4 linked regions of the Schizosaccharomyces pombe genome follow. The protein of the gene in region 4 binds, or shares a complex with, the protein of the main gene of each other region. Each region holds a gene or a part of one and is shown on either strand. Other genes may lie near its edges.

The links.
Region 1: mrps18 (region 4) and mrp21 share a complex: the UniProt entries of both Schizosaccharomyces pombe proteins name them as parts of the mitochondrial small ribosomal subunit.
Region 2: mrps18 (region 4) and mrps8 share a complex: the UniProt entries of both Schizosaccharomyces pombe proteins name them as parts of the mitochondrial small ribosomal subunit.
Region 3: mrps18 (region 4) and rsm18 share a complex: the UniProt entries of both Schizosaccharomyces pombe proteins name them as parts of the mitochondrial small ribosomal subunit.

What each region holds. Positions count from the first base shown.
Region 1 is NC_003423.3:613,722-621,774, forward strand, and holds mrp21 (mitochondrial 37S ribosomal protein bS21m), read right to left. Parts: upstream 4,453-8,053; 5' UTR 4,418-4,452; coding exon 4,342-4,417; intron 4,248-4,341; coding exon 3,958-4,247; 3' UTR 3,470-3,957; downstream 1-3,469. Other genes in the region: its8 (pig-N family GPI synthesis protein), read right to left, coding at 1-2,442, 2,595-2,745; U1 snRNP-associated protein Usp107, read left to right, coding at 4,633-4,651, 4,701-6,538, 6,588-6,818; ER uridine diphosphate-glucose transmembrane transporter Hut1, read right to left, coding at 6,914-7,882. UniProt on the Schizosaccharomyces pombe protein: Component of the mitochondrial ribosome (mitoribosome), a dedicated translation machinery responsible for the synthesis of mitochondrial genome-encoded proteins, including at least some of the essential transmembrane subunits of the mitochondrial respiratory chain.
Region 2 is NC_003421.2:326,131-334,169, reverse strand, and holds mrps8 (mitochondrial 37S ribosomal protein uS8m), read left to right. Parts: upstream 1-1,603; 5' UTR 1,604-1,686; coding exon 1,687-2,145; 3' UTR 2,146-2,690; downstream 2,691-8,039. Other genes in the region: ago1 (argonaute), read right to left, coding at 1-33; tfx1 (translin family protein), read left to right, coding at 3,726-4,421; DNA-binding transcription factor, CBF1/Su(H)/LAG-1 family Cbf11, read right to left, coding at 4,709-6,468, 6,547-6,628; uri1 (prefoldin-like protein), read left to right, coding at 7,076-7,223, 7,298-8,039. UniProt on the Schizosaccharomyces pombe protein: Component of the mitochondrial ribosome (mitoribosome), a dedicated translation machinery responsible for the synthesis of mitochondrial genome-encoded proteins, including at least some of the essential transmembrane subunits of the mitochondrial respiratory chain.
Region 3 is NC_003421.2:719,231-727,292, reverse strand, and holds rsm18 (mitochondrial 37S ribosomal protein bS18m), read right to left. Parts: upstream 1,304-8,062; 5' UTR 1,284-1,303; coding exon 783-1,283; 3' UTR 501-782; downstream 1-500. Other genes in the region: SPOM_SPCC18B5.05C (phosphomethylpyrimidine kinase), read left to right, coding at 1-263; protein kinase Wee1, read right to left, coding at 2,426-5,059. UniProt on the Schizosaccharomyces pombe protein: Component of the mitochondrial ribosome (mitoribosome), a dedicated translation machinery responsible for the synthesis of mitochondrial genome-encoded proteins, including at least some of the essential transmembrane subunits of the mitochondrial respiratory chain.
Region 4 is NC_003424.3:4,963,535-4,971,658, forward strand, and holds mrps18 (putative mitochondrial ribosomal protein subunit S18), read right to left. Parts: upstream 4,329-8,124; 5' UTR 4,223-4,328; coding exon 3,689-4,222; 3' UTR 3,456-3,688; downstream 1-3,455. Other genes in the region: SHREC complex subunit Clr2, read left to right, coding at 1,742-3,355; gab1 (Pig-U family GPI transamidase subunit), read left to right, coding at 4,612-5,003, 5,231-6,065; tma23 (ribosome biogenesis protein), read left to right, coding at 6,358-6,471, 6,553-6,645, 6,710-7,111; OUT family ubiquitin-specific cysteine protease Otu2, read left to right, coding at 7,655-8,014, 8,061-8,124. UniProt on the Schizosaccharomyces pombe protein: Component of the mitochondrial ribosome (mitoribosome), a dedicated translation machinery responsible for the synthesis of mitochondrial genome-encoded proteins, including at least some of the essential transmembrane subunits of the mitochondrial respiratory chain.

The sequences.
Region 1 (8,053 bases), on a different chromosome or scaffold from region 4:
GCTGAATCCCTCCCAGTCGTTTGTTCATTATTCCAAAAGCTGCCGAAAGTGCGATAAATGGAACCAGAATAGTGTACATTAAGAGTGCACCTTGTGTTACCGGATTGAATACAGGAATAAAACGTTTCACCGAATCCAAAGCGAATGTGGAAAGTGAAGCCACGTTTCCTGTACCAAAAAATGCGACGTTAATAAATATGTAGAAGAAAAGGGAAATGCGAATATGAGAAAGAGATAAATGGAATTTTGCATCTTTCTTTCTGCTATATTCGGGATGTAGTTGTTCCGTATATTTTTGAAGTTCTGTTTCTAGTTCCATCCATAATCCTAATGTTATAAATAAAACAACATAGAAGAGTGCTTCAAAAGAAATAGATAACATGCACATTGTAGGCGAAAATGTGAGAAACAAAATAGCCAGACGGTCAAGAAAATAGTGTTTACAAGACCGAATATGATGACTTGGAATGATGTACGACGTTATGAAAAGTCCAAATGCAACTAAACGTAAAATTGGTGGTATGGCAATATTCCTTTGCAGACTGTCTGCAATTTTAAGCGTAACAGGGACAGTTGCCATAATAATAAGAACTTGTAAAACCAATTGTTTGTTTGTGACCGTTGAGCTATATTGAAATGCTTGATTTCGTCGGTAAAGAATATAAAAAACCCCAGCAACTGACATTGCAAATCCTCCAGCGAAAATAAATAATAACGATTCCTTTTTATTAACTGGTAAAATCGTAAAAAAGCATAATAAGCTCGTAAGCACTGACCACGAGACTGATATAGTTTTGTGAGAAAAAGCATAATCCGCATGAAGGAGCCATGGCCATGCGGCCAATCCCATTAAAATTACGGAAAATCCTTCGCGGTGAAAATAACTGTAAACGATAAATTGTAACAGACAGAGAATACACAACGAAATAAACAAAATTTTTAATAGAGAAAACCCATGCTTTTGCTTTGCAACTGTTAAAAAATTTTTGAAACCAAGTTTGGTATTTGGGAAAATTGAATGAATGAGTTGCAGAAATATGGTTGGGAAAAGAGCATACCCATAATAAAATGGTGGACTAGACTGGATATAAAAAAAGATGCAAATTAACAAAAAAGGAATATTAAATGCGACTCTCTTGACGACGGAAACAGGCTTTACTATTTTGGAGGATGGTTCTATGTTTAAGCTGAAGACAAAGCATATGACATATCCAATCCAACTCAAATAACCAAAGAAAACAATAGATCGAAGAAGAAGCCAATCGTAACGTTGTAGGTAACGTAGTCCAGAAAGAACCGTTTGGCTAAAGTGGAAACAATGCTCAATAGCAATTTCATATTCACCAGATTCTATGTCAGCAATAACTGAGTTGTAAAAGGATGCTTGTACCTCTGTATAGTTCCTCAAAGGAGAATATGGGCGAAAGAAAATACTAGTTTGATCCTTTGAGGCAGACTTTAAATTATATTGTTCACCAATTTCTAAAGCATTCATTAAGGCAACCTCAGCTTTGCGGCGAGAAGAGCAATCAAGATAATCCAAGGGTATTTGACCCACGGAATTCACAGGAAAATTTAAACCGACAAGGTAAGACATTAAAGCTGCAATATCTGCTTGTTGTATATCAATACGTTTTATCTCCGTCAAATTCCATGGCAAAGAATACTCGTCATGCCCATAATTCTTCTCATGAGTAGGACTTTGAATACCAGCACCCCAGGCAATGATGGGAGTACGTGTATTATCAAGGTTGCCATCACCATGACTTCCAAAGTCACTCATACCATGGTCTGCTGTAAAAACCCAGCTAGAGGCTCCGTCGTTATTGTAGTAGTTGTTCATCTTATCAACGAGTTCTTGAATTTTTCCATCTATATACTGTATGTTTTCGACATATTCAACTGAGTCAGGGTGTTTATTATGGCCAATTGTGTCAATGCCCAGTAAATGAAGGAAGAATACTATTTTATCCCGATGCAACATATCCCAAAGTTCCTTATCCTCTAAAGACTGAGCGAGAAGTTCATCTAGCCTATCAAAAACCCATTCGTCAAGAACAATTCCGTTGCTAGAGAAATCCTCCAATTCAGAAGAATACATGAATGTATCAACTCGAGATGGATCAGATGCACCTTCACTAAACATAGGCAAAATATCTTCGGATCCAAACGAATAAGTATGCCGACTCTGATTAAACACAGAATCGAAATTTACTGGATTTTTTTTCCAGCCTTTTGTGACGGCTGAAACATCTTCGTAAAAACCAGCTATTAGAGCAACATGTCCGGGGCGTGACTCGGTGGGAACACGAGTATGAGAAACACCGAAAGTACCGTTATTCTGAATAATTGATCTTAAAAATGGAGCGGCATATGTCTGCTCTTCTCCAATGACCTTTTCGGAATGTGGTTGTAATAGTTTATCAGGACGTAGTCCATCGCCTATAAGCATATTGGTTAGTAAAATAAGAAAAAGAAGGACAAGAAAAAAGTTGTACTATTTCTTGTTTTTTTTTCTAAATCCAAAACGAAAATATGACATTTTTTTCATTAAGCTCTATACACTAATTTCACTATTACAAATGTTTACTTACCAACAATTAGAAATAGGCGTTTAGCAGGAGCTTCGCCTGCAGAATACTGCTTCATGCCATGTATTAGAGGAGTTACGAAATAGATATCAAAAATGGATTTGAGAAAGACGACATGGAATAAAATCCCTAACAGCAAGAGGCGACCAAACATTGCGAAAATTTAAGCGTGAAACCACTACCACAATTGACTGGGAATACTAGGGGTTTTTGGCAAAAATTGGATAGATGCCAGGACGCTTCTTGGAAAAGAAGGATGCCCTAAACAAGGCAAGAAGTGTTTTGTTCTGGTGAAGTGCGTTTGAGTGTTGAGTCGTTACAAACATCAACAGAAGTCCCCTTTAATCTACCATTGGTTAAAATTCAGATGATCTACGCTCGATCTAATGAATAAGCGAACGCTAATGAATGTATACTGAGTTTTGTAATTAAGGATGCCGTGTTTGAATGCACTAATGAATAGTGGTAGCGCTCCATCGTATATTGTGAGCTATGGCCAATATGCGTAATTAGTTCTAGCTGGATGAAAGAGTAAATAATCAGAAATCTATTAAGGAAGTGATAAATTACTTTATGGTATGCAGTGCACAATAATGGGACTTATAGTCATCTGGTAATTAAGCAAAAAATGATTCTGTAAATGGATATTTTCGGTATTATTTTAATTTCCGTTGACAGAAATGTAAAATGGATGGTTATCATTTCATTGCTCAAATCCAAGATTAATGAAAATTCAGCGGTAAGCATATTTGGTTGTTACACGTTGAGAGTCGGTTTACTCATGACGATTATAATAAGATAAAGGGATACAACCATCAAATTGCTGCTACATGGCCAATAATAAAAAAATCATTTGCAATACGAAAGGAAACGAATTCATTTATTATAACATGCAGAAGTAATAACTTCCTGCGACCAGCATTAGTTTGAATAAATAGAGTAACAAACTCATCGATTTAACTAAGAAAATTGTTATAGGCTAGCAAAACAGAATAGTAATATTAGAGGGTAATGCAAACATTAAGCTCAATCTCGCAGTATTGTCAAACTGAAAAGATAAAAGAAGGTAGAGACAGTTATTAGACAATAAATCCTGTTAAGTAGAAAATCATAAGATAGGGGAGGGGTTAAGCAAAGATACCAGGAAAAATTTAGAAATGACAAAACAAAAAACGAATATTTCCCAAAAATGTCTAGCTCTTAAATCCGCGGAGAAGTAAAAAGCAATATATTATTTTACTTCAAAAGGGGGTTTTCGAGCATTCTCGTCTTAAATGAAAAGCTATGAGAACAACGATCTCCAAATACATTAATTTAATATGGATTTTCGTAACCAAGAAATAGAATGAAATGTTCGAAGAATCACTCAATAACCCCAACGACGCATGTTCTTTGCTAAGTTTACAAGTCGAACAATTCCAGCGCGGAACCTTGCCCTGTGTCTTTCTGAACGAACGCGGGATCGCTTTTCGGATGGTTTTTCATAAAATCTCTGTGAACGGAATAGCCTTGGCACATTATTCCTTTGACATATTCTATCAACTTGTCGAAATGCTCTTGTTAGACTATTTCCAACTGTCACACTTGCACCTAAATCTTTTGTTTCTGCTGCGGGTATCATAAAATGAAGCGAATCTTGGAACGCACCATGCTCCTCTAAATATCAATAAAGTATTAGCAGACAATAATCCAACAATCGAAAATCATATTCTTGAAAGACAATAGCAACTTCAATGGATTTTCTTCGTACCTTTTCTCTTTTGCAATTTCCTATTTGTATGTACCCATCTGACCCCTAGAACACCTGGGAAATAAGAACTGTTCATTTTAAATAGTTATTTTGCGTTTTCTTGGCAATTTGAGAAGCCTGAATCTCACCGCAGTACAACTGCATAAAGAATTCGTTAAATTGCCTTGAACATCGATTTTTTGCATTAGCGTAAAAGACATAAAATTCATAAACTAAAAATAGGATAATCACATTTACACTTCACTATATACCTTTACATGATACACATGAATCTGTTTTCCTCCAACAACTATGCAGCGGCAGAATACGCGTAAGTAATTTCAATTTCATTGCTAAAGAATTTATCTAATTTTATTTAGAGGCTGCCGGTATGCCAATGATGCCACAGGTTCCTATGGTTGGCAACGGCGTTCCATATGTCGTCCCAATCCAACCTGTATTCGCCCCTTTACCTCCTGATTACAGGAGCTTATACAAAAAATTGTATGGCCAAGGCGCTTTTTTGGTAGATAATCCTGTTGAGGCAAGTAGTCCCTATGATTTTTCGCAGCCAATTCTGAAGTTTGGTAAACTTCCCATAAAACAAGTTTTAAGAGATAATGAATCGCAACAAAAAGATAGAAAAAACTTACCCCGAAATCAAAAAAGTAATGAGATTCAGGAGAAACAGACGTTTCAAACACCTTCTTCAGAGAAGTCTACAACAGAAAGGGAATCGCGGCCGTTTGTCCCTCCAAATAGTCAACAAATGCGGCGGATGCTCTTTATTGGTAATATACCGAAAGAATTGGATGATTTTTGGATGGATAAAATTCTTCGATTGTCCGGGAAGCTGGCTTCTTGGCGAAGGGTTGCTGATGCAGATAACTCGATGACTTCGTTTGGATTTGCAGAGTTTGAATCAAATGAACAATTCAGTAGAGCATTAGAAGCATTAAATGATTTTGTTGTTCCACCTTTGTACGAAGGTGGTCCTTCAACTCGCTTGTCATTGATTACAGATGTTGAGAATGAGGGATTGTATCGTGAATGGCAAACGAGTCGTTATGCAAGAAATAAGCAGAAAGAGATAAACATTTTACAGCAAATTCGCTTTAACCTCGAAAGAATTTGTCAAGATATAGGCAATTTTGATGTCCGTTCTCGCATTGAAAGGGCAGCTCGACAGGCCCGAGAGAAAAACGAAAAATTACTACAAAATGTCAAAACTTCGGAAATTCCCATTAATGCTGCTGATTTAGAAGGAATTAATCCTGAATTATTACCGGTTATTGAAGAAGAAATACGATCCTTTCGCGATCAATCTGCTATGAAAAAACGAGAAAAACAAAGGTCTAAGGACGAGTATGCCAGTTTATATAAAGAGTATACACGAAAAGAACAAGAAAAGCTTCGAAAGCAAAATGATGATTTACAAAACCTTTTGTCAAAACATCGTATTTCACGTATCCCTATGTCTACAGTCAATGCCTTTTTAAGAGCAGAAGATAGCATTCCCGAGTCGTTCTCCGATGAACAAGCTTATTATGAAGAGAAGAGAAGGAAGGATCAATTGGAGGCTGAAGAGTATTACGCAAGGGAACGGCGCTGGATGAATCGTGAAAAGGCCCGAACTGCAGCTTTAGAACGAGAAGCTGCTCGTGAAGAAGAAGAACGTGTTAATAACACTTCCTTTGGTACTTATCTTTCGGAAAAATTAGCTTCTTTTGATGACGATGAGGAAGCTCGCGTATCTCGAGACGAATATTTTGTCGATCGTGCTGCTTGGATTAGACATCGTGCAGTTGCTCGTGCTCGAGAAGAAGACGCAGATGCTCTTGACAGAAAGGAGGAAGAAAGAGAACTACGTACCCGTGGAGAAGGTGCAACCGTTGAGACAGAGAATTATGTCGAAAATGGTAAGCTGGTGACTAGTGAAATGCCTCAACATGAAAATGGTCCCTTCAAAATCAAAATACAAACCAAGAAACCAGCTGTTCCTTCTGAAAGACGAGAATTTGGACTTCCGGAGAGACTGCTTTTGGAAGAAGAAGACGAAGAACCGCAAGGCTATTCTCCCAACCCTCAAAAACCAAAGCCTGCTATGGAAGAAAATGATGCCGAGAAGACGAAAAGACTTCGTTCACTTATTGAAAAGATACCTGTTGAAGCAGAAAGTCTGTGGGCACTACCAATTGACTGGAGCAAGGTTACTGAGGTTTGTGATTTTTTCAACTTTTATATGTATCTAAACTAACACATTATAGGATCTTCTAAAAGAAGAAATGCAAGCTTTTGTTACCAAGAAAATTATCGAGTATATCGGTATTCAAGAGGATTCACTTATCACATTTACCATTGATCATATCAGGCAACATAAAGGTGCGGAACAGTTAGTGTCTGAATTGGACCTTGCTCTCGCTGAAGATGCTCCAGAGTTTGTTAGCAAAGTATACCGATACTTGCATGTACTACTGATTTTACGTTCTGAAGCATAACGTACATATTTGGGTAAAGTTTTTATTTAATGGTGACGATTAAAAGTTTGTAATATGTATTTATAAGAAATTTTTTTAAAAAAATAAAGGCAAACCTATGATGCCTTTTTTTTCGCAGTAGAATTGTTGTTTAGTATTTTGAGGCCGGCTTCTAGGGAGATTCCCAAAAAGACCAATAAAATACCAAGCCACTGAATCGAAGATACAGTGTGATGAAAATGAAAAACACTAAGAAGCATGGTGAAAATTTTTCTTGTAAGTGTAATGGTAACGAGCGTTATGCTTCCAAATTTTTCAAGGGTGAAGAAAATGAATAATTGACCGACAGAACCTGTGCAAGCAAACAACAACATGTCTTTAAGGATGCTTGGATGTCTGTTTATAAAAGACAAAGGCTGCTGGTTGCAAAAAGGAGAGATTAAATACAGGCCATTTAAACATGCGATACCCAAGTTGACCGCAATCATCATGGTAACGCTTGATAATTTGTATTTACCAAAAACCTTGTCTTGAGTAGTATTAGTAATTCCGTCCATGAGCAAATTAAAAAATAAAAGCAGTAAGCCAATAGGACTATCATGCTCAGCATGTTTACCTTTGGAAGAAGTGTTTTGAAAATAACTAAAGATACTTACACCTGCTGTAATCATTGTAACAATCAGGTATTTGTGAGGAGGAAACTTTCGTTTGTAAACGAACACATGTAAAGCAATAACTGGAAGTAACTTGCATGATTTTCCCAGAATAACAGTAGGATAAGACAAATGAAACATGCTTGCATATCCAAAGTAAGAACTTAAGCTAGCCGATATGGCAATACTAGAAAAGTATCCTAAAAACTTAGGCTCTAGCAAGCCTCTAGCAGAAACACCATGAAACCAGTTCCAAAGCAACCCACAAAGGACTGTCATGAAGGACTGTGCTAAGCTAAGTAATGCAGGAGAAGAAAACCTTTCACCATCGTAAGGTCTTGTTATAATTTTCTCCTGCATAACTGCCCAAGAAAGAAATGAACCATAAATCCCAATCATGCAAACAAATAATTGTCGCATAAAGCCAGCCATTCTAAAGAAATTGATGAACCAAAGGTAAAAGGAAAGTAACAGAATTAACCAAAGAATGTAACTTTAACAAGGATAAAGCAAAAAGGGTCTTGAAAACTCGCTCAAGTGAAAGTGATAGTCGTAATACTTAAAACACGAAAATTAATACAGGAGTCTTTGTCTAATTTTCTC
Region 2 (8,039 bases), on a different chromosome or scaffold from region 4:
TAAAGCTATTTCTGAGCTTGGTTTATACGACATCCTACTCACTCTGAATCATAAAGGACGAGTTGGCTGAAGACAATTCGCTTTGGCGGTTGGAAGCTTATATATACCAAACCCTAGATTAGGACTCATCATAGTTGTCTTGTATATAAAACCTACTTGAGTTATAAACTATATTAAATCAAAAAACTATCAAGAAAATATTTTATTTATCACTTTGTTATTTACATGCTTAATACATTCGAATTTTCTATATACTAAGGTCTATTTCTATACTTCTCTGAGCACGCAAACGCAACATAAGTCTTATTTAATTTCTGAACATAAGAAATATAAGCTTATCTTTAACAGCTTTTCTTAAATTACCGCATAATTTTGTATAGGTTTATGTTTTTTTAAAGGTTCCAAATCGACGGATTTTTGAGTTTTAACCCTTCTTTCTTTATATCGTGGTTGTGATTCAATAAAAGTGAACCCAATTGTTATTTGTAACCATTGACGAAAATTATAGTACATTGAATTACTATTTGTTTACTAGTTCTATATTAACAATACCGGGAGGTTCAAAATCAATGATTACTACTTGTTTTCTTTTTCTTGTTATATTTGCTTGCTTGAAATCCTCTTTATAGTTATAATACATTTTTACAACCTGCTTTTGAGAATATTAATCTGGCAACTTTCAAGTAAATGATTTCGGTAATTGCACTGATTTTTGAAAAGTGTTGATTTCGAACGTCTTTCAAATTAAAACGGACATTTTTTTATGAAATTAAAATGCCTTGTGCTTTGTGTAATACTCGTTAAACAGCTTACCGAAACTAACAACCTTTTTAAGAAGCGAAACTTAATTAAATCAATATATTATACTGAGTAAATCAGTAATTTCTGGACGATCGGCCACATAAAGAAGCATTATAAATCGTTCTCCATACTGTTAGGCTTTTGTTTTCAATTCACGTTTTCTTTTCTGTAATTAAAATATCAGTAAAGAATTCGTTATGCCATTATTTTATAAAAAATTTTTATAATCCTATACAATTGTGAATTTACATTGTATTCAAATGCTTTTTTACATCCCTATATTTTACAGGCGTTCGCTGTTGTACCGCTTGTTTTTTTGAACACTGCTTATTATAATTTTTTCGATTATTACATTTGCGAATACCTTTCGAGGATTTTGGAACTACTAAACGCACAAAAATTCGCTTCCCACTTCTGACAACTTTGTGGGTTTCATGGTAATTTGAATGCTATAATATTAACAGATTGACACAGCGATTTAGATCCATATTTTATTCTGTACAAAGTAAATCTCTAACATTTGGTAGACGGCTTTTGCCGTAATAACCGTTGGTTTTGCAATTTTGCGCCTTGTTTTCCAAACATAGTAAACCGGTGCTTTTAGTTTATTATATAGTGATTTATTGTGAACTTTAGTATCGTGTCGTTAATATACTACTATCCAGTGATTACTGCAATGTCCATTAACTTGCTAATAGTGTGTAACACTAGCTACACCGTTCACTACTTACTATTCTTCCAGTACAGAGAGAGGTATTTGGAAGTGACTAGCTAAACTGCATTCATACCTCTTTTCTTTCCTCAAAACACCATTCTGTATAGAAAAAAAAGGCTTTTATTGTTGGACTGCTTATAAAAGATTAGGATTGTGTTAAAAAAGTCGAAATGCAATTGCATTATGTTTTTTCGCATTTGCAAAATTCATTTCGCGCTCGCAAGTCGTTAGCAAGCGTTCCTAACTGTAACAGTGTGCTCGAGTTATGTGCTGTTTTGTATCATCAAGGATTTTTAAGCTCGATTCAACGCGGAGATATTCATGGACCCGATGCTTTACCCACAATCACCACTAGGCAAAATGTAGCGACCCGCCGTCTATGGTTGGGTTTAAAGTACTTTGAGGGAAAACCGGTTCTTCACTACATACGTGCAGTATCAAAGCCTAGTAGAAAGGTGAACTTGACTCCTTCTGAGTTGTTGCAATTTGCCAAAGGAAGGAAAGTTAGCTTTGTGAATGGGTTGGAGCCTGCAGAAGTTGGAATTGTAGAAACTAAACATGGTATAATGAGTATTGACGATGCAATTAAGAATAATTTGGGAGGAAACGTTATATGTCGAGTTAAATGAGGCTTCGATGGAAAAAGTTATTATTACGTACAACTTCTTTCCGGATACATTGTCTCCTTTCTCTATGTTAATAAGAGAATAAACATTACTCATTTGTTTTGAAAATTGAAGCAATATCTAACAGGCTGGTTAGATTTAAACTAATATGTTTAAGTTTTCCTTCTCTTCAGCTAAGGATCAATGGCAGAATTCCTTTTAAATCTCCCACTCCTTTCATAATAGTTTGTGAATTGAGATACTGCATATTTACACATCCCATTCATTAAAAAACATAGTCTTAATTCCCATTCCGCCAAAACATAAATCCTTTTGTTTTACTATTATTCGACTTGTGATTTACGAATAAATGTTTTTTTACACCTGAATTTATCCCGTCTCCTTTTGTCAACTCACAATATTCCATATGCTTAAAATTATACCCGCAGAAGCTTTTTTGGAATAGAAAAAATATTTGTGTTACTCTAGTAATGTAATGATAAACATGTTTAAAATACATAAGGAAAATCGTTTTATAAAATATATAATCGATGGAGATTGTATGCGACTTCTAAAGCATTGTGTAAATTAAATAAGGTTGATTAAGTACATAGGAAGTATTTACAAATGTATAATCTGTGAATGACAAGGATATGTATTTGTCAATACTGCATTTGAAAAATATATTATAAAACCATTATTAAGAATACAATTTATTTAGATCTATAATGACTATGGATAACAACTAGTCGCAATGGTGTAGTTGGGAGCATGACAGACTGAAGATCTGTTGGTCATCGGTTCGATCCCGGTTTGTGACACTTTTTATCAGCAATTACAGCTTTGTAAATAAAGCATTTAACACAATGAATTTTGTGCCAACGCTGAGTAGGAATAATATCTTTCTCTACATACTCTTTAACTGGGCAATCCTGGTAATGTATTTGAGTAATTAAGCAGTATTGAGTCTGTTTTCATCGGCATTGTTATTTAGTAAAATGATTGATTGATGAATGTACACTCTTTCGTTAATTGCAAGAATTTATGCTGTGATAAACAATCATTTGCGCCTTGGATTTTAAGTAGGCTAAGATTTATTTTAAATACTAATGATGTTGTAAATATAAAAAGGACGGGACTCTTTTTAAGAAATATAACTAAATAACACGTGGAAATGACAAAAAACTTGGGTAGTTATTTTCAGAATTGTTCAAGCAAAGCTCAAATTTCTTTCTTTATATATTTATTATTTTCACATGTTCAAGATTTTATTGTCAGAAGCAAATGGCTTTAGTCCACAGTAAATTTAAATAACCAAAAAAATTCATTATTCCTATTAACCGATCTTTATTAACAATATTTTCTCTTCATTCCATACATGGTCGATTGTCCTGCTGCAGCTCAAATCACTATTTCAATTTCATAGCACAGAGCCAACTAACCTTACTCAATGATCCACTAAACAATATTTCGTCTCTTAAACAACAAATAGTCATCTTGATTTGCATTTAATTCAATTGATAATATAGACTTATACATTTATACCTTCCACACGGCTTTGCTGAATTGAGGATATTATAAAACTTTAACCGAATTTGCCAAATATGGAAGAGGAATTCCTCTCATTTAAAAATTTTTTACAGGAGGATCAAGATAAGAGGGAGAAAATTATTCGTCTTTCTCGTGAAATCACAATTCAAAGTAAACGAATGATCTTTCTTTTACATCAAACATCCTCTTCTGATGGATTTCCTCTACCCAAGGATTTCGACAGAACATCCATTTTTGAAAAAAAAATTCACAAAGAACTAGAAAGTCTGAAGAGAGAGTTGGCTGGATTAAATGCAGACAAGTTCTCTTCTGCTTGTACACACGGCCTTCAAGAGTATGTTGAAGCTGTCACTTTCAAATTCTGGTTACAAACAGGTACGTTACTTTCTTGTAAAGATAGTAGCTTTAGAATTTCTATTAATTTCATCGACTATGTACTCGGTGTTTGTGACATGACTGGTGAAATAATGAGATTCCTTGTAACCAACGGCTCTAAGTTCTCTGTCCAACAACTCACTCAGCAAGTTAAATTTCTTCGTGGACTACACAAAAACTGCTCAGAAATTGAACACTTACCATCTAAGGTCAAGTCAGAATTACAGCAGAAATTATCAGTAATGGAGAACAGCATTTCAAAAGTTGAAGGAATTTGCTATAGTAAAATTTTAAGAGAAGCAGATAAAAGATATTTAAATTTGGAAGTGGATACAGCAACTCCTCCCGAGGAGAAACGATTACGGTCCACATAATATATGATCGACAGCTCTCGACAGACACCTTACTAGTTTATTAAAAGTTTTTCTGTTTTGCAGCTTTTGAAAATCATAATTATTAAGTACATATTTTCGACGATTCAATTATCTTATCAAAAGCTTCCGCTGCTTTCTATATGTTAGAGTTTCCATAAGCTAGGATGTTTGTACAATATAAAGTTCATTTAATAAGAGAGATTTCAACCTAATTCCATCATTTTGAAAACAAATTGTATTTCAATATTTCGCCATATGAAACCACACGTAAAATTAATCATGATGCATCAGTTTCCAAAAGCACTTGACGTTAGCAAAATCTCGCATTTTCCAATAATGACAATCCCACCTGGAATCACGAACAACAAAGGATACTTTTGTTCTGCACAAGAAGGATCATATGAAATTTGCGACAGACCTAGAGTGACCGTACCCATTGTACTCGTATCAGCAGCTGCGGTAAAACTATACGACAATGGTCCATGAACACCTAGCCAAATTTGTAATCCGACCGAATAGCCTCCAATTTTAAATTGTAATGAGCGCGAGCTCTCCAAATATTCGGGTGGCTCTTCAATATATGGATAATCAGTAACCGTTGGTACAGGATTTTGATTGAATGGTAACATCATCGTACAGTCAAAATGTGATATGCCCACTATAGTCCAGCATACAGAATCTCCAACTCGAGTCATTTCATTTGAACTCAAGTTTCCAACAGCTTCCCATTCTATGGGCAATATAGCCTCACTAGATGCATTTCTGTTTTGTGCCGACGTGGCCCCAAGAAACCAACGGACTGAAATATTATTGGAATATGCCAGTGAACTATGCTCAGCGATCTTAAGATGCCGTACGTTTGATATGGGATATGCGCTTTCTAATACAATTCTATGCATTTGATTAACGTAACCGTCCTCCTCAGCAATGTGGTCTTTTTCTACTCGTCGAATAATTAAAGGGTCACTCGTCGTTCCTGTTGCTTCATCGACCAATTCAACGATGGAGCCATATTTAATGGGTTCTGGGTTATCGACATCGTCGCATACCTTCAGTTTACCATTTTCATCTGGTAATAGCAGGTTAATACGCAATGGCACCCATCTATCACCGCGAAGACAAAACTGACCAGCCTCAATCGATGTATACTTTGTACGTACAGTTTGTGAATTAATCCGGTTATAAAGGCTGACGACTGAACCGGATCGCAACGTAATATTACTAATTTTTAGTTTGCTTCCTTTTTTCGAAGGTTTGGAGACAATACTAATAGAAGAAGTAACCAAATGAGATAACAATTGGTTATTTACATTCGAGAACATGTCCAGAGAAAGCCGTAAGTTTTTAGATTTCGCAGCGACCAAACTCGATATATGCAGTGACCGAAAAATCATACATCCTTGGCCAGTGTATTCTTCGCTGATGGGTTGCGAACATTGCCCAAAATCATTCATTATTGATATCTCAGTGCGAAAAGACTGATTGAATATAGAAGAGTAATTCCCATTAATATAAACCATAGGGGGTGGACATAGGTAACGTTTCTCTGACCCATAAGACTTTTGTATGACAGAGGAATGTCGACACGAAACTGTTACCAGCTGACTAGGTTTCCCTGAACGTGTAAGTGAAATTTTGTGCACACTGTCCTCATTCAAATTAGCAATGCCAATACAACAATTGTTCAGTAAATCCAAATGATCTGATATGGCTCTTCGGATCATCTCTACAGAACTGTCTTCATCAAAGGTTTTTCTTTTTCTATTAAACCCAGGAGGAGAAGGAGCAGGAATTATGTTTTGGGCCAGCTCGTCCAACGAATTAGACGCCTTTGCTACAGCAGGAAAAATTGACTGTTCATCCTTAACTACAGAAGGGAATTCCTCTGATTTTTCCAAAGTAGCCAAAGCTGAGTTTACAGCACTGAAGAGAGACAAAACCTGCATGGAAACACTTCCAGGACTCCCGCTTCCAACTCTTTCAGAATTTTCATTCCTTCCTCCAGCTCCATCCTCCTGATTATGCAAACCATTATTTATGTTGTCCACTAGAAAAATCCGTTAGCTATTTTACGCTTGGGATGTTCAGAATGATTTATAACTCAACCATCATTGCTAGCGCTTACAGTTCAACTGATTTAAATTTAAGGAGCCAGAAGTATTACTCCCAGAGATATTTGCAAAATCCCAGGCAAAATAGTCCCCCATTAATGTTCAAATTATGTTTTATACTTGCTTAAACTGTTGGACCTATAGGATTAAGACATGCATTTGCTTTTACTTAAATTATTTTCAGTGAGAAAATATTAAAATTTAAAGTAAGGGACCAAATTACTAGATGCTTAGGACATTTGCAGTATGGCGCTTTCTACGTACATTAGGGTCAGGTCGGTGGCTTCCTACTCAGTTTGAGCCATTTCCATTAACATCGATTTTTCGATATTATATTAGTTACCCTGTTATTTAAATACTAAAAGTATTTAAAATTTATTAGAATTACTTATTATCTCGTTTTTAAAGTGAATATTAGCTTGCCCGAATAAGCTGTATATGCCTTTTTCCGGAATAACCACGAAACGATCGTTGGCGTGAGATTATTTTGAATTAGAAATTCTTCAATAACTCTATTTAAGATCCTTTAAAACAACTTATCGAATGAACGACGAAAGACTAGTAGCCATCAATTTTGAACAGCAAATCTTCTCTAAGATTAGCGAAATTTCTGAATCAGTCGGTAGGGCGATCCGTTACTGTAAGGAAGATGGAAAAGTTGAAGGATGTGAAACAGCATCCCATGTGGATTGTACGTTACTTTTTCTTATAAATTGAGTGATAATGTTTGCTTCATCAAACGACTAATTGCTAATGAAAATCCAGTCTTAAATCATATTCATTTACTTTTGGGAAATTACAATAATGACTTAGCATCTTCAATTGAAAAGAAGAAATCCGAGTTGATAGTAAGAAACTCAGAAGGGTTACCTGTTATGGATATTCATGAAGAAGTTGATAAAGATGGAAATATTATAAGTGCTTCTGTTGCTCCACAAAGAATTTCATCTGTAATAGATTATGCGGATGTCTTTCGATCCCTTCCTGGTTTCAAAAATATTGAAAATGGGGGGAACCGTGATACATCTTCGAGAATTGAAGAGCTATCTGAAGAAGAAATTAACGATTCTACGAAAAATATTAACTACAAAGCTCCAGAAATGGGCTCATTACCTTCTAATACTGAATTTACTTCAACTCCAACACTTGGTGTCTCAGAATTTCCCAGCAAACATGGTGATCATTCAGACAGTAAAACATATGAGAGTCCTATTAGTAATAGTCAGGCTGCTTCATTGAGTGATTCAGATATGGTTCAACAAATTAAAAATGGTAGCAAGACTTCTTTGTTTAAAAAGGGTTTTCTTTTCAAAAAAAATAATGCAATGCAAAACAGAACTACTTCAAATATAAAGTCAAACGCTTCTGCTATTGAAAAAAATAAAGAAACGATATTGAATGCTCTCAATAACTCTACTTTAAATGAAAATGGACATCAAGATACCCAAAATGAAGTTTTACGAGACATTGTGTTAGAGCATCCGACAGCGAAGGCCCAAGATACTGG
Region 3 (8,062 bases), on a different chromosome or scaffold from region 4:
GTTGCTCTCTTACAGCTGCCATTGCATCGAATCTGGCTTGTAATATACCACCTTTGCAAGCCATTCACGAAGCTTTATATTCAATCGAGTGGGCCATTCAAAGGGTTCATAAAAAGAGTTCAGATCCCTATAAGAGTGCTCAGCTATTTACAGCTTTAGGTCATTCTTCTAAGTTCTCAGGATCTCTAATTTCGTTAAAGTCGGAGAATTACATACCACAAGCTGATTTAACTTCTGTTCTTTTATCTCATATACCTTCATGAAAAGCCCTATTGCATATATTTTGAACTAGCTCCATGATGCACTCATCGTTTTAATATCGTTCTATAAAACCCAATTCTTTTCTAGATGGATTTTTTCTTCTTTTGCATATAATTATTTGTTCTTCCCTCTCTGTCCTCTTTAGATAAGTAAAATAACTACTACTAGATAATTTTTTTAATACATTGTATCGACTAACGCTCCTCCTACAAAAAAGTTCAATCAAGCTAAATTAAAAATTAAAGATAACAAAGATATTATATTTTTAAAGCCATTAAAAAATGTTAGCCACTAATATTAGCAGCGGTTTATGATTTTGTGTCATGTATATTTTAATCCAAAAAAGACTATTCAAAACCAAAGTACACCTGAAATATTAATTAACGTGAGCTAATCATTTAAAAAGTAAAGTAGATCGTTTATCGTTCCTTAAGAAAAAAAAAGTAAGGGACAGTGGGTAAGTATATCTACCAATGTGATGAAATGAGATATAGAACGTCCTTGTTAATATTCAGTACAATTTAATTTTCCGAATAAACTGATTTGTATTTCGTCGGCATTATACCAGCAGCTCGAGCCCTTCGGATAGCCCTAGAAAGAAGTCGTTGATTTTTTGCTGTTAGGCCAGTATCACCTCTGGGTTTAATACGACCAAGTTCAGTAACGAATCTTGACAATATTACGGGGTTTTTCCAATAATTCATAGGGTTTTCGTTCACCGTCTTAAAGCAATCTTCTCTTACTGGTTCATAGAATTTGGCTTGATTTTTCGCCTTTACCGTTTCAAACAGTAAATCATTGGGAGAGTAAATATCACCTTCTTCTACGGAGGCTGATAAATATGATGGAATATTTGAGCGAACTCTTCTCTGAAATCCTACATTTGAAGATGCTTCAGAATTTCTCTCATTAAATTTTCGATTGTCCGAAAACCCTCTTCGCGTAGAGTTATTAGATTGTATGAGATTGCATAAAATAAATCCTCTGTTTGGAGCTGGAGAAAATATTCGTCTCCCAAGCATTTTTCTCCCGTGCTGTTGTCAAAGTAATATTTCAATGTTTGAAGGTGTTTAGTGAAATAATGAGACACTCGTTAAATAGTTTATAGCTTATGCTTGTGTCTGATAAATGAAAACGTGATGATACCTGAATTTTCTAACTTTTCTGTTTCAAAATAAATGTTTATTTAGATATGAAGTGTTAAACGGGTCATTAAAATCCTATACTAATTTGAAGGCATCACAAACTTGAGCATATACACAGCTTTCACAAGCATAAAAAAAAAGGGAAATTAAAAATTACAGAAGTGGAACTAAGCATAACGTTAACATTATTACTAATTATTATATGATATGATAATAATAAAAAATCTAACGGGTTATTAAACTTCGTTAGTAAATCGTGGCATTTTCCATAAACATAACCAATTATTTGCCATTCAGCAAGATCGTAAACTATGTACAAGAATAATAGGCAGTGTCATCGATCGATCTAAATTATTATGAAAACAGAAGTCAAAAAAAAGTGGATAAACAGTCGGGATTCGAACTTTATGCTAGCAAAGATGAGTAAATGCAACATATCAAGTCGATAACAAACGAGTGACATAAGAAATTAGACAATAAAATAGATGAAAAATAGGAATAATAACTCCTCTGAAGCCGAGTCTACATGTTAGAGAAAGGATTTGCGATATAAAAAACAATCGTTCACTAACATTTTTTCAGTAGACAAAGCACGTACAGTATGTGCGGCGTCAAGGCTTTAAATTAAGGAAACATTCTAGTTCCCCATATCAAGAACTGAATGGCATGTTTCCATAGCCATCATCATATTGCCTCAGATATAATTAACCGGATATTTGACTGAAGAAAACCAAATAGATAATCCGGTGAAAAGGCAAAAAATTAAATAGAAAAACTATCATCTAATAATTTTTTAAAATTTTTTAAAATTTAAGGGTTCGGTTAAAACGGACACGTATCCTTAAATAAAAAAAAAGCATTTAATGAACCAAAATTAATTATAAGCACCAATCACTAAACTTTTCGTTTAAAAATAATTAAAGTGTTTGCTTTTATGAAGCTAAACAGATTTTGGAAGCCATTCCCTTATTTCGCAATTTCGCAGTAATAAACATTGAGAACAAGAGTCTCTAAAAGGTTTAAACATTCACCTGCCAATCTTCCATCATTTGATCACCCTGGGGGTTAGAAGAAGATCCATGAATACCTTCATAAATTATGGCTCCGGCTTTTCTACGCATTTCAACCCAGCAAACCTCATCAGTTGCCAAAATTTGATCTATGGTAGGTCGGTTCCTAGGCTCTGGAGATAGCATCCACTCTACAACGCGATCAAGTCCCCCTTGGCCTATTATACTATTAGCCGGTGTTTCACGAGAAGAAGAAGTAAGAGATGAACCGTTGTCTGTTGAAGAAAGTCGAGGAGCATCTGATAAGTCACCGGAACGTAATTTCTGCCAAGACTGACCGTTATCAGGAAGAACAATGTTAGCAGCAGCTTCGAAGACTGTGATACCCAAACTGAAAATATCAGCAGGTTTATCATACAAATGGTTAGCAAGAACCTCAGGCGCAATGTATTCACAATCACCTTCTCTTTCCATGCCTCTCGGAACAGGCCAAACACTGGCCATTCCAAAATCACCAATCTTCAAGGTACCCTCGAATGTTATCATAACATTAGCAGGCTTTAAATCCAAATGAACATAATTTTTATGATGAATAAACTGTAGCCCAAGAGCTACTTCTACTAATATTTTCCATACCCTAAATTCATCGAGCCTTGAAAGTTGTCCTTGCTCTTCAAGAAAACGATCCAAACTACCATTTTCACACAATTCGACTTGCATATAAAGAAACCCCCCATGTTCCCATGAGTCCATAAGCTCTACAATGTGATCATGGCCTTTAAGGGCTCGTTGAATAGAGACTTCCTGAAGTAGTCGATTACGTTCTTTTGGTCCACTAAACTTTACCTTGAGCTTTTTCACTGCATACTTTAAAGTTTTTTCCACAGGGTCTTCAACTTGAAAAACCTCACTAAACTCTCCACTTCCTAGTAAAGTAACATTTCTAAACCGTGTAAGCAAATGTGAAGTAGATGATGATACTTTGGACGAGGTGAGAGCAGAAGGAAAGGATAATGTAAAGCTTGAAGAAGAGGGTTGAGATACATCAGCTTCTTCCTCCATGGCAAATGACATTTGATTATTATTTCTCGATTTGATAGGCGAAGGTTGCCGACCGTCCATGTGAATGGAAACAGTATTTTCAAACGCAAATGGGTTACGAGTAGGCGTAGCGGGACACCTCTGATTAGATAGAAATGGTAATCCATAGTTGTGAGAAGTTTTTACAGCAGAAGGAGGAGGATCGAACCTCAAAAAGTCCATGGAACTTTTCTCCAACTGAATAGTAGGAATGGAATTGTGATTTGTAGGAGTGTTTTCCCGTTGAATAAAATAAGAGTCGGTTTGTGTATTGGAAGGAGTCGAGGGTGATGGAGGCGAATCTGTGGAGGAAGAATGTGGACGAACAAAGGTAGAGGGTTTTGAAGGAGTACTAGGAGGGAGAGGTGTAAAGTTAATATTCTTTCGCGGACGATGTTGCTTGGATAAAAGACCTGTACTCATAAAAACTTGGGAAGGAGGTTTGATTTGTTGAAAGGGAGTAGTTAACAACTCAGATGAGGGTGGGTTAGGTAGAGTAGCATTGGGGAAAAGGGAGAATGAATTAGAAGAGGAGTTAACCATACTGTTATCAGAAAAGAGGGAAGATTCATTTTGTTGGGTTTGAGGATGTGAGCGATTAGAAGGGATGAAACTTTTCATCATAAATGATGCATCCTTAGAGCTATTTCGTGAATGGTTGTTAGATACGGCAGACTTAGTTTGGCTGGAGGCAAACCCAAGCTTGCGTGCAGTAAGTGGACGAGCGGTAGGAGAAAACAAAGAGGATTGAGCGGAGTTAGAAGGGAAATGATTAGAGGTAGTGTGTCGAGAGGATGGTATGGACGAAAAAAGGGTAGAAGGATTAGCATTATTTGAATTAGGAGGAGCGGGTGTGGAAGTCGATAAAAAATTAGGCGATGAAGTTGCAAAAGGAGAGAAGGAGCCCGATGCAAATGGAGAGATGTGGGAATTTGAGATACGAAAAGAATCAAAATTGTTTTTCTTTCGCAGCTTCTGAGCAGGAGTAGAAGGAGGTATGTGTTGAGAGCTTTGAAGGAAGGGAGATGGAGAGTGGGAAGGAGGGGACATTGCACCGTTTGACATGGAGGAAGAAAAGAAACTTCGTTTTACACCAGTAGATGCATTTTTATGAATGGGAAACGCACGAACGTCTGAGGGTGAAGGGGCAGTATGGTGGATGGGATTAGCCACCTGGGCAACAGGAGAAAGAGATGGAGAATCACCTAACCGAGAGGAAGAGCGTGATACCAGATTGGGTCTATCAAAAAGGGAAGGCCGCCGAGGTACAGGTTGTGCCTGTATCTGGGGTTGTGAATGTGTAAAAGAAGGAGGAGAAAGAGGGTGAAGAGGGGCGGCATGAGAGAAGGAAGGGGAGGAAGTGGTCTGTTTGCGAGGACCGAATAAGCTAGTGAAAGAGGTATTTGGCTTTTGCGAAGAGGTAGATGAAGTAGAATTGTTAGCATCATACAGGCTCGATGGAGTTGGAGGAGCGAGCAAAGTAGCACGATTTAGATTCATGGAGCGTTGGGACCGCCGTAAGCCATAAGATCTATGACTGCTGGTATTAGAAGAAGAGCTCATGTTTTCTGTATGGAAAATGTGGCAATTTAACAAAAAAATAGATATGAAATTTTTGATTTAATTAAATTGAATTGGAATGCAAACGGAACAGATGTACGAACGAACAATCGATAAACGAGGGAAGTGCGAAGCAACTAGGATTTCGTAGGTAAAGCGTAATGCACAGTTGTAAATGGAATAAAGAAAAGGGAGAAAACAAAATGAAAAAGAAAATTCCAACCGATATTCTGAAGGCCTACCACCTCAACAAAAGAGAAGAAATTGAGCCAATGCTCGTAATATTGTCAAAACGAAGGAGAAACGTCAAAAAAAGAGAAATGTTTAATAAATTAAAAATAAATAAGAAGAAAACAAAGGCAAGAGAGCAAAAAAGCTCTCGTTTGCTTCAACGAATTATGTCTATTAATAAGTAAAGTGGTATGTTGAGGTTACGACGAAGATATTGCACCCACCTACTTTTACTAGTACAAAGGGGGGGTTCAAAGCCGCTATAGCCTTAAAGTGTCCAATCCGGTATTAGGGTATGCGTTCCACTCCAGTATTCCTTTAAAGCTGAGTGAGTGAAATTAAGCGATAGCTTATTGTGGAGCACTGAGCCGAGACGTTCCCTAGAAGAAGCCAAAAACAACGAAAAAAGGTTAGCAAACACGGAAGGAAAACAAAGAAACGGAACCACAAAATTTTCAGCAAATTGAACGTCTAAAGCCTATAAAGAAAGAAGCAGATAAGGACGCTTAACAGCTGATTAAAAGGGAGGGGAAACTATTTTTCATAAATAAGGAGAGAATGCGAAAATCACGTCGGAAGGCCGGGTTGAAGGAGGAAGTATTATACCGAAACTGGGCAAAAAATCGTAATTCGTTGGTTAGTGATATTGCTTTCTCCTAGCTAAATATGTATAGTACAGCGTAGTGTAGTGTAGTGTAAGGTAGTTTTGGGATCAGAGCAGCGAGAAGTAGTGAGAGTTGGTGGTGAAAAAAATGTAAACAGAAACAGGAAACGAGTGGATGAGCCGAAACTACGAGTTTTTGAAGGAGATGGTTTTAATGAATGTCCCTTTTTCTTCTTCGCTGCTACAAAAGAAAAAAAAATGGGGAAAAGACAAGAAATATGAATAAGAATGGAAGTAGCTTACTTTTCCGATGGAAGGGAAATGTACCAAAGTAATGACGAAAAGGTCACACACTGGAGACTAACTAGAAGCGGTAAGTGCACGTTAGTATGTCGATCTGTCCATATATATAAAGTAAATAATCAAAGGAAAGATGTAAAATTGGAAATAAATGAGAAAGAAAAGATATGGAAATACGATCCCTAAAATAACATGCAAAAAACAGAAACGGTTCAGATGAATTCAGGCACTTGGCATGGTGAGTGGTGGAAAGAAAGACAGTGTGATGTTGATGAATGAAGGAATAACCAGTAAACAAATGAGAGATCCCGTTAGCGACGGAGACAAAAAAGCGGAAGGAAAACGAAGAGATGAAAAGAGGTGGTGTGAATGGTTTAGCCTGGATTTTGATTTAAAGGAGATGGTAAAAAAAAAAAAATTGTGGAATTAATGTTATTGTTGTTTTAGTAAAAGTAGTGGTGGGTCAATAGAAATAAAATTGGTTTCACTTTGCAAAATGACAATACAATAAAAGTCGTTTAAAAAAAAAAAAAAAAAAAAAAGGGAGAAAAATCACCTTTTAGTCTTTACATGATTCTTCTATTATCTATCGATTCGAACATTTAAGGGTTGCATGGGATAAAGCAGTGCTAGTGTTAAAAGGTAAATAGAAAAAGAGAAGAGAGAAAAGGAATGCAAAAAATTAACAGGGAAGGAAAAAAAGTGCCTCTAAGCATTCAAAAGAGAAGCTAAAATTAAAATAATAAACATGAAATGACTTAAAGAATGATAATTAAAGTTGTTTTATATATCAACGAATATTCTTTTTTCTTGAACATTAGGAAATTGTGTTAGGATTCAGATATCGAAAGGTATGGAAAAAAAAAGGGGGAGACGATAGGAGCAGAAGAAAGTGAAAGGGGGGCAAAGAAGTAAAAAGACAAGAATTAAAAATATTCGGATTTGCAAAAAAAGGAAAAGTCAAGTGTTCTTTTTTTAGAATCCAAACCATCCAAAGTGGAACATTTTAAGAAAGTACAGTGAGAATAATGGTAAATCAGATAGGCGAAGTATCATAGAATTTGTTAGTTACAATGAATGAAACAATCAATAGATAGAGGGAATGATTAATCATCTCAATCTTCTCTCGACATAGAATAAAATAGGTTTATTAAATATATTAAACCGAATTTAAATAGTTGCTCAAAAACTCATTTATCTGGCAAAATTTACGAAAACATTGTCAAATTGCAAGAGAAGCACTAGACTATAGCATAGCTGTTTGAAATTAAAAAAAAAAAATAAAAAAATAAAAAAATAAATAAATAAAACTTAAAAAAAGAAGAAGAAGAAAAGAACCGAAGGAGAAAAATATTTAAAATAAATTAAAAATATACACACATTTTTTTTTTTTTTTTTAGAGCCTACTTACTAATCTCTTTACACACACAAATAACACAGATTCATTTAGTGCTAGACGAACGAATCGAATGCAAGTTAATTCCTTGTTTGTCACATAAGGAGCTCTAAATTTATTCACTATTCATCACTAAATGATATACTATTAAATACATAGATGAAATTCATCAAAGTTATAAGGCAAAAGAATTTCCAGAAAATGTAGTCTGAATTAAGCATAACTTTCTTGAAGAACTACATAGGTTTCATTCATCATAATATCAATACACCACCTTTTTACTATTACCACTACATGTTTATAGATAATCTGCACTACCAATAATTTTCATAAACAAATACTTTTTTTTGTGTACTGTTTGCCTTTAAATTTGATGGCTGTTTCAGATTTTTTTTTCTTTTGTGCTTTCATTCAACTGTTCTGTATTTGTAATGTAAAAACTAATAACTTGGCCAACAAACAACGACTGCTTGTT
Region 4 (8,124 bases):
GTATACAAAGCTAAATGTTTATGCTAGAAATACTTTCTTTAGGATTCGTAGAATCTGATGAAATATATTGTAGATATTGTAACAAGACTATTTTTAAAATTTCATTTACTTTACTGTATGAGAACATATCAAAGCATTCCAACAAATTATTTGCGTTTCATTTTTTTTGTTTCAAACTTGGGAACATTTCAAAATAACCTTTTTTGAACTATCGTAATTCAAATTTGTATGTAAAATCACAAATACTGTTTCTAAGTCTTTAATGCTTCAAATTTCCGATTGAAAGTTCTAATCACCTAACTTATTCTAAAAAATCGTTATACCGATATATGATTGATATATATATATATATAATTTTTTTTTTTCAATTTATACTACTGACGAAGTCATGTTTCCATGTCCATCCAAGACTTCGATAAAAAGAGTTGATATTTTTATAAACTATTAACTCTTTTAATTCACTTGTAAAAAGTCATGTTAAAAAAGTTGTTCGTTGTAAGACATTTGCTATATTCTTTATAAAATTAATATTATAGCTTTATATTATATAACGATACTAATTTAGTTATATCGTTGAAAATTCGTCTGAGAAAAATCCATATTCTGGCTAATCTAACATATAATCCAAGTATTTTATTGGCAAATATTTCAATTTATTGAAATTTGTTTTTGCTAACTGAACCAAACAACTAAAATATAGTTTACGTCGATTACTCAAATTTTTCTGGGAGTGGTGGTTCGTTCACATATCCTTCATATTATCGACGTATTTTGATTCCATACACTCCAACATTTTCTAAGTTTTTTTAACTCTTTTTTCTTCCATTGGAATATCAGTCTGCCGCTCACTGCTCTCGTATATTTGTAGAGTGATTCTTCTTAACAAGTGGTCAGTGGAACGAGTAACGTGTTCCTCATTGCTCAATGGGATCGCCAGGATTAACTTCATGAATTAGCTATAAACAGACGCAACGCCATTAAGCATTGCTCTTCTTCATCCACGAAAACTGGAAGTCGCTTTGCTTTTATACCTCATTTATCTTTTAAAATATAACGTATCTTATAAGCGCATTTTGGTGATTTCTTTCTTTTCGCTGGTTCATTGCTACTCAACTGTAAGCTGTTGCTTGATCGAACTCGAGACGTTATTAATTGTTCTAAAGAAAATACCTGTCGCTATTTCCCTTCATCTACAAGCGTAGGAGGGTGTTTTTCAGTAATCTTCCTTGGGACATCTAGCCTGAAAAGAGTGAAGTTTTTCGATTGCTATTCGTTTCAACCCCAAATTATACTGAAGATACTAATAATTTGTCTCTCCATGGCCTTGGAGTCATCTCGTTTCGCTATTGTCGGACTTCTTTACAACGAACACAGAATTGTCGTATTCTCTTTAGATTTTTTCTAAACGATATTGGCAAAAAAATAAACAACAATAACCTAAATATTTATTTTCTTTCGCCCCTTGAGCCAGTTTATTTTCATCTGTGGTTTTTGTACATCCAGGACATATCAAGTTGAGTTGTTTGATTGGTTCGAAAAAACAAAGTTTTGCTTACGTTCAAATCGCTTTTTGCACACATTCATAAAATATCGCAATATCCTCGTTTCACGAGATCCGAAAAAATATTTGCTTCGTTTTCTGTTCTTTTTAACTCTTTGCGTCAATTTTCCGCTACACAAAATAATTTGCATACTTCTTTTGTTCCGTTATAACTTCAGCTATTGTCATTTTTAGTAGCTAATGCCTGCTATTACTTGTGTTTGGTCCGATGGGCGCTCTGATACATGGCCTAATGTAAATGGTCATAGCAGAACAAGATCCGTCCCTTCGTTAAAGCCACTACCACATCAAGACAGTAAAAATTTACTTTACCGCCAGATATGCGGTCGTTTACTTGCCCAGCATGTTTTCGGTGGTGCCGGCTCAACCCAACCTATTCTCAACCAACTTTGTAAAAGATTGTCCACCGGTAATCCCAATAATACCAATGCGTCCACTGTTGTTACAGCCCCCGAAAAAAATGTGGTCTCTGCTAGACATGTTCGACCAAATCCAAAATCTTCCAAGGACACCTTGGAAAAACAACCTAAATATTCTTCACAAATATACCTTACCGACAGTTTTGAAAATTATTATCTTGCCTCTTTACCCACCAATTACCAGCTATATCAGCGTGATTCAAACCGTGAAAATGGCAATGGTAAACGTGAATTTTGGCTTTATGGCCATCCCAGTGGTCGACCATTTCGATCAGTTAATGATTTCCTTCATCATTTGTATTGGCTTATATCAGATTTGACCCGTAACGAGTCTACCTGCTGTTGCGTTCTGTGTTCTGGTAATATGACGCGTGTACGCAAAAATCTCCAAAAAGAAAATGAACGGATGTTCCATGAATGTAAGGATGATACATACACCTGGCCTTCTTCGTATCGCCTTGGCGAAGTGGTATGGATTGACATAAATAATGAGCTCATTCCAGCAATTATAGTGGCTCGGAACTTAATAAACTATGAAAGTAACCAGATGGATGCTGTCAAATTAATATCTGATACTTTTGTGGAACCATATCAATACCATTGCAAACAATTAGGCAACTCTCGTTATTACTTTGACATGGCAGCTGCAGATATTGAGCCTTGGTCCCGGCATCCACTCGATTTACAAAAACAAGAACATCTAGTTGCTCATTCTATATGTCAAACGTGGAACCTATTTGGTATCTTCCAGCCACTAGAAGGTATAGATATGGAAGAACCAAAGTTCCACGACGAAAATTATTCCATCCCTCTCACAGTTTTACCAACCTTTGGGGGTGAATCAAATAGTTTAGATGATCATTTTTACGGAATTTTCCGTGGAGCCGAAAAACTATGGATTAATGATTTATGTGTTATATCCACATCTTCACTGCCATCTGTACTTCAAAAAACAAGTTTTATGTACATATCTGATATTTATGTAAACGAAGATGACATTGTCTGTTTCCAAGGCTCACTATGGACACAAATTGACAAAAATGCACTCGATTATAATGACAGCGCTGACAATATTGATGAACATAAGGATGACTTAAAAGAATTACCAAGAAGATTACAAATGGTATCAAAACTATCAAACACATATTTTCGTTGCCTGCATGATAAATCTGTCGAGTACGTCTGCCCATTCGCAGATGTTTTGGGAAGATGGTATGAGCCTTGGTTCGTAAAAGGAGATTTAAATTACACTTCAGAAGTGAAAGAACGCACATCCAGTCGATTATCAGCAGTAGGCTCTGAAAATTGGGTCGATGACGATTTTTATGAATATTTACTGTCTGAAATTGATATGGTGTCAGCAGTTGTAATGTAATAAGTATGGCAGATAAAATTAGATATAGAAGTGTCTACTTATTGATCAGTGACGGTCATTATTTATAATGTAAATAATATGGGAATAATAATGTCTTTTGCATTTCATAAATTACAGAGAAAGATAGGTAAAAACTATTTGTGTTGAATTAGAGATGGGATATAGTTTTTTTTAAGAAATCATGTTGCACTATCACACCGGTATTAATAAATCATTTCTAAGTTCAGAAGGTCAAATACAACGGTGGAAAAGCACCAACAATGTTGGGCAGCAGATTAACTGCACAGGAAGATTACGTAAACGAAGAAAACAGAAAAGTAATATAAACATACTTCATATGCGTCGCTCCCTTCTACCTCTCGGTCCTCCAAATTTAATAGGTGTTCGATCCATAACCTTTACAATTTTGTCTCGAATTACGGCACCTTCTTGCCCTAATAAACAATTTTGTACTGCTTCCCTGGCCTGACTAAAACCATGAAATATAACATGCAAATTTTCAATACCAAGGCGCTTTACTTGGATTTGTTCCAGCACCTTGGAGCAAATGGTATAAGCAGCATCGTAGCCACGGCGCTTTCCTTTACGAAAACCACAGGTTCCTCCAGAGGCCCTAAAAATAATTTTTCTTTCAGGAGAACAAAGTGTAATGTGAGTGTTGTTCTTCAAACATTTGGCATGAAGGTAAAATGGCATTGGAATGGTATCCGTACCTTGCATAATCGGATTTGGCTCCTCCGTCCTTTTTGAAAAAGCTTTTGGAGTGATTGTGGATTCTAAAAGAGAAGAGAGTTCCTTTTTGGGCGCATTCCGCCTAGGACTCTGGCTCCAAAATCTTCGTAGTCCAACTTTTGTTAAATTAAGCATTAGATATTTGATGAAAAATAGCTTGCTAAGAACCGATTTGTAAACCAAAAATAAAATCAAAGAACTAAAAAATATGGATGAAAATGTAAAGGAAATGAAAAATGACAAATTGTAAGTAACCGAGTGCTTCAATACCATAATTTCTATACCAGGTAACTTATGTTACTCAACCTGTGGTAGTGGTATGAACGTGTAAATATTAACCTAAAACACTCTTCTCGTTTTAAAGAAAAAATAAAGAAATAAAAAATTAAAAATCTTACTTTGGTGGCTGCCTTAAAAGTTTTTCAAACGGATCATTTGGGATACCCAACGACTGTAATTTAAACGAAGATTGGTGAATTGAAAACACAAATATAACCCATCTTTTGAACAGTGAAGATTTTGCAATGATACCAAATGAGAAGCTAAAACTATTAGGTTTATTATCAATTTCTTTTTTTCTTCAATGGTATTTAGCAAACACTTGGATTGCTGAATTCCTTTACAGGCGAATCGAAGTATCGACGCCTGTATCCGGATTTTTACGTGTTCGTGAAGGACTTTACTTGTATGAAAACGGACTAGACCCCTATTCTGGTGGTGTTTTCTATCAGTCTCCACTTCTACTGATCTTAAATTATTGTTGTGAGTTGCTTGGAGGAATATCTGTCACCAGATTTGTTTATACTAGCATTTCTACTATGGGAGGTCTCTTTGTGTATTTAATTGCAAAACAAGCTCGTGTTTTAGACCCAAATCAAGTACTATCTACTTGTTCACCATTATGGATTTCCGTCATGTAAGTTACGCATATGGCTTGCGACAAAAAAAGTGAGACATTCTTCAAAAAAATGAAAAGCATTGTATCGTTGGTTTACAAAATTGTTAACGATGACTGTTCAAAGATTGAACTGCGTTGATTACACAGATTTCGTAGTCGATATTGAAAATGTGTACTTCTGTGATATATTTGTGTCGCAAACAAGTATCCTTAACTCAAAATTTACTAACAAAATATTACTTTAGTTATCTGCTTAACCCATTAACATTTCTTCCAGGAATTGCTTGCTCCGCAGACATGATACTTAATTTCACCACTCTAATGACCATTTATTTCGCCTCTTGCGGATCCTATGCAATTTATGCATGCTGTATGGCATTGACTGTATTCATTAATCCTAACGCTTTACTGTTATTTTTCCCCTCCTATCTTATTTTAAGAAAATGCAATTCATCCATTAAATTTCGTCAGATATTCGTTGTTTTTCTTTTTTATCTTGCAGGTCTGATAATAACTTCAGGCTTCTTTCTGAACTCGTTATCTTTTTTGAAAATTCCATTTAGGGTATACTTGGACTCTCATGATCTAACTCCGAATTTGGGTCTCTGGTGGTATTTTTTTACAGAAATGTTCAATGAATTTCGCACATTCTTCCTTTTTGTATTTGCCATTTTACCATTGATGTTTGTTCTCCCTGTTTCGATCCGTCTTTATTATCTGCCCTTGCCTATTACTATTGCTCTTATTGGCCTGCATTCTTTATTCAAAGCTTACCCAAGTATTTGTGATCTTTCAATATTTTTATCTCTCCTCCCAATTTTTAATAAAGTCCAAGACCGAATGCGATATAGCTTGCTTACAAATAATGCTATTGTGTTTGCGCTTGTACTGGGATCTGCATTTTACCATTCTTGGATAACTCTTGGATGTGGAAATGCAAATTTTTATTACGCAAGTAACCTCATTCTTGCTCTTGGACTCTCTTTAAAAATCATGGACTTTCTCAAGGCACTGCTTTTGGTTGATTGGTATGCCAATCACCCACAGCATGAAAATATTCCATTAAAACAGGTTCAATAAAGTAATCTGTTAATTAGAAAATGATATTCTTAGGCTTCATCTATCCAATTTCATCATTAGAGCCTCACCTTTCTGACCTTACGAAACGACCTTTTCCAATTTAACGTTTAGAAATTATTTATTCATACATACAAATAGGAAATTTATATTTCATATTTTTTTCCTTTTCCGAGACGATTCAAGGACTTTTTTTATTTTTTTTCATATTAGGTATTCATGGCATCCCATGGCACTACTCCCTTTACCACGAAGTACCCATGAAAAGTTTTATGCAAAACTTCATCAGCCATTGATGTTTAGTTCCAAAAGATATTTGAATTCCTTTGGTTGGGAGGAAGGAAACGCTTTAAAAGAAGGAGGGCTCACCAAACCAATTTTAACTTCTAGAAAATATAATACTCATGGGGTATGTCAGAATAAAAAATCTTAGAAAAAGATGGGTTTTTTCAGTAAAGTTATGTATGAATTTATTTTTAACACACGGTAGCTTGGTGCTAAACATGATATTGCTGATCAATGGTGGGATAATGTTTTTTCTGCTCAACTACAGTCAATTCAAGTAAATACGGACAACGGAAAGGTAAAAACAACTTAAATATACAATTTTTCCTATCTCTTTTACACAGTGCTAACATTTGGAAAAGGTTGCAGTCCAAAGCAATGGTGTATCTACAAAATTGAGAATGGCAAAATATCACAGCAAATATTCTGCTCTGTCTTCTGTGTTTCGTTATGCTGGTCGACTTTGTGGTACCTTTGAGGAAGATTTAGTTGATAAGAGTCTTGATTCCTCTGTTTCTCCAGTATCGTCCAAGAAAGTCAAAGTCAGAAAAACTTCTGGCAAAGAGTCTTCAAAACGAGAGAAGTCCAAAAAGAAAAAAGAAAAGAAGGAGAAGAAGGACAAGTTGAAAAAAAAATCCAAGAGATTAAAATTAGATGATTCTCATACTCAAAAACGAAAAAGAAAGGTTCGTGACAAAGAATCAAAAAAATCGTCTAAAAGTGGACTTAAGAAGGTTTCGGGTACTAAAAAGGTAAAGGCTTAAAAGGAAAGAAAAATCGTTTGCCTAGCTTTAAATATGAACAAGAATTGGAATTCTTTATTTTACGATTCGTCCAGAAGTCTTCGAACATCCAAACAGCAAGTTTTCTAATTCTTTGAAGTTTCAAAAACACACTTTATTTAAAGCTTTTTATTTGTTTTTCTTGTAGTTTCATTTCGTTTATCAGCGGGCATACATTTGTTGAACGACGGGGTGTATTATATGGGTATCAAAGAATTTGGTATTTGGAAACAGGAGTCTAATTGTATATAAATAATTAATAAATTATTAGAATTGAATTGTTTTACAAATTAAATGATGTTTAATAGGATCCTAGTAAAGAATATATATTTTATTATAAAACTCTGCATTGGATGATTGAATGTTTACAAAATGAATAAAAGGCTATGCATGGAAAGGGAATATTATACTATGTAAATATAATGTCTAAATGAATTAAATTGGAAGCATCGAATGAGATGTCCATTAGCATATTATTACACTCAAACTACCATACCAACTCAACAAAAACGAAAGTCTAAAAAAATGGAGGAATTGTTAAGTAAGCAACGGGAAGAATGTAAAGAACTTCAAAGCAAAATTACAAACCTTCGTAAACAACTAAAGGAAGGAAATAAAAAACAAAAAAGGGCTTTGCAGCAAAAAATCTCACAAATGGAAGCCGATTTATCACAAAAACATGCTACAGAACGACAAAAATTGGATAAAGGCGATGAAGAGACAAATGAAACGCAGCAAGAAGATCTCCTCAATACGCTTTTACAACAGATGGAAGATACGAAAATTACGACGGCAGAAAAATCATCAGTTCAGTCCTCATTGAATACTAAAGAAAATACACCGCAACAGCCTAAAAAGTCTAGGAATAGACAAAAAGAGCGACTTGTAAGTGCTTAACTTTTGACGAATTATCACTAACAAAGTTAATTAGGAACGACGTAAAGCAGAGATGAAAAAAATGTCTGAGCAGGCAGAGCTAGAGTCAGAAAAAATGG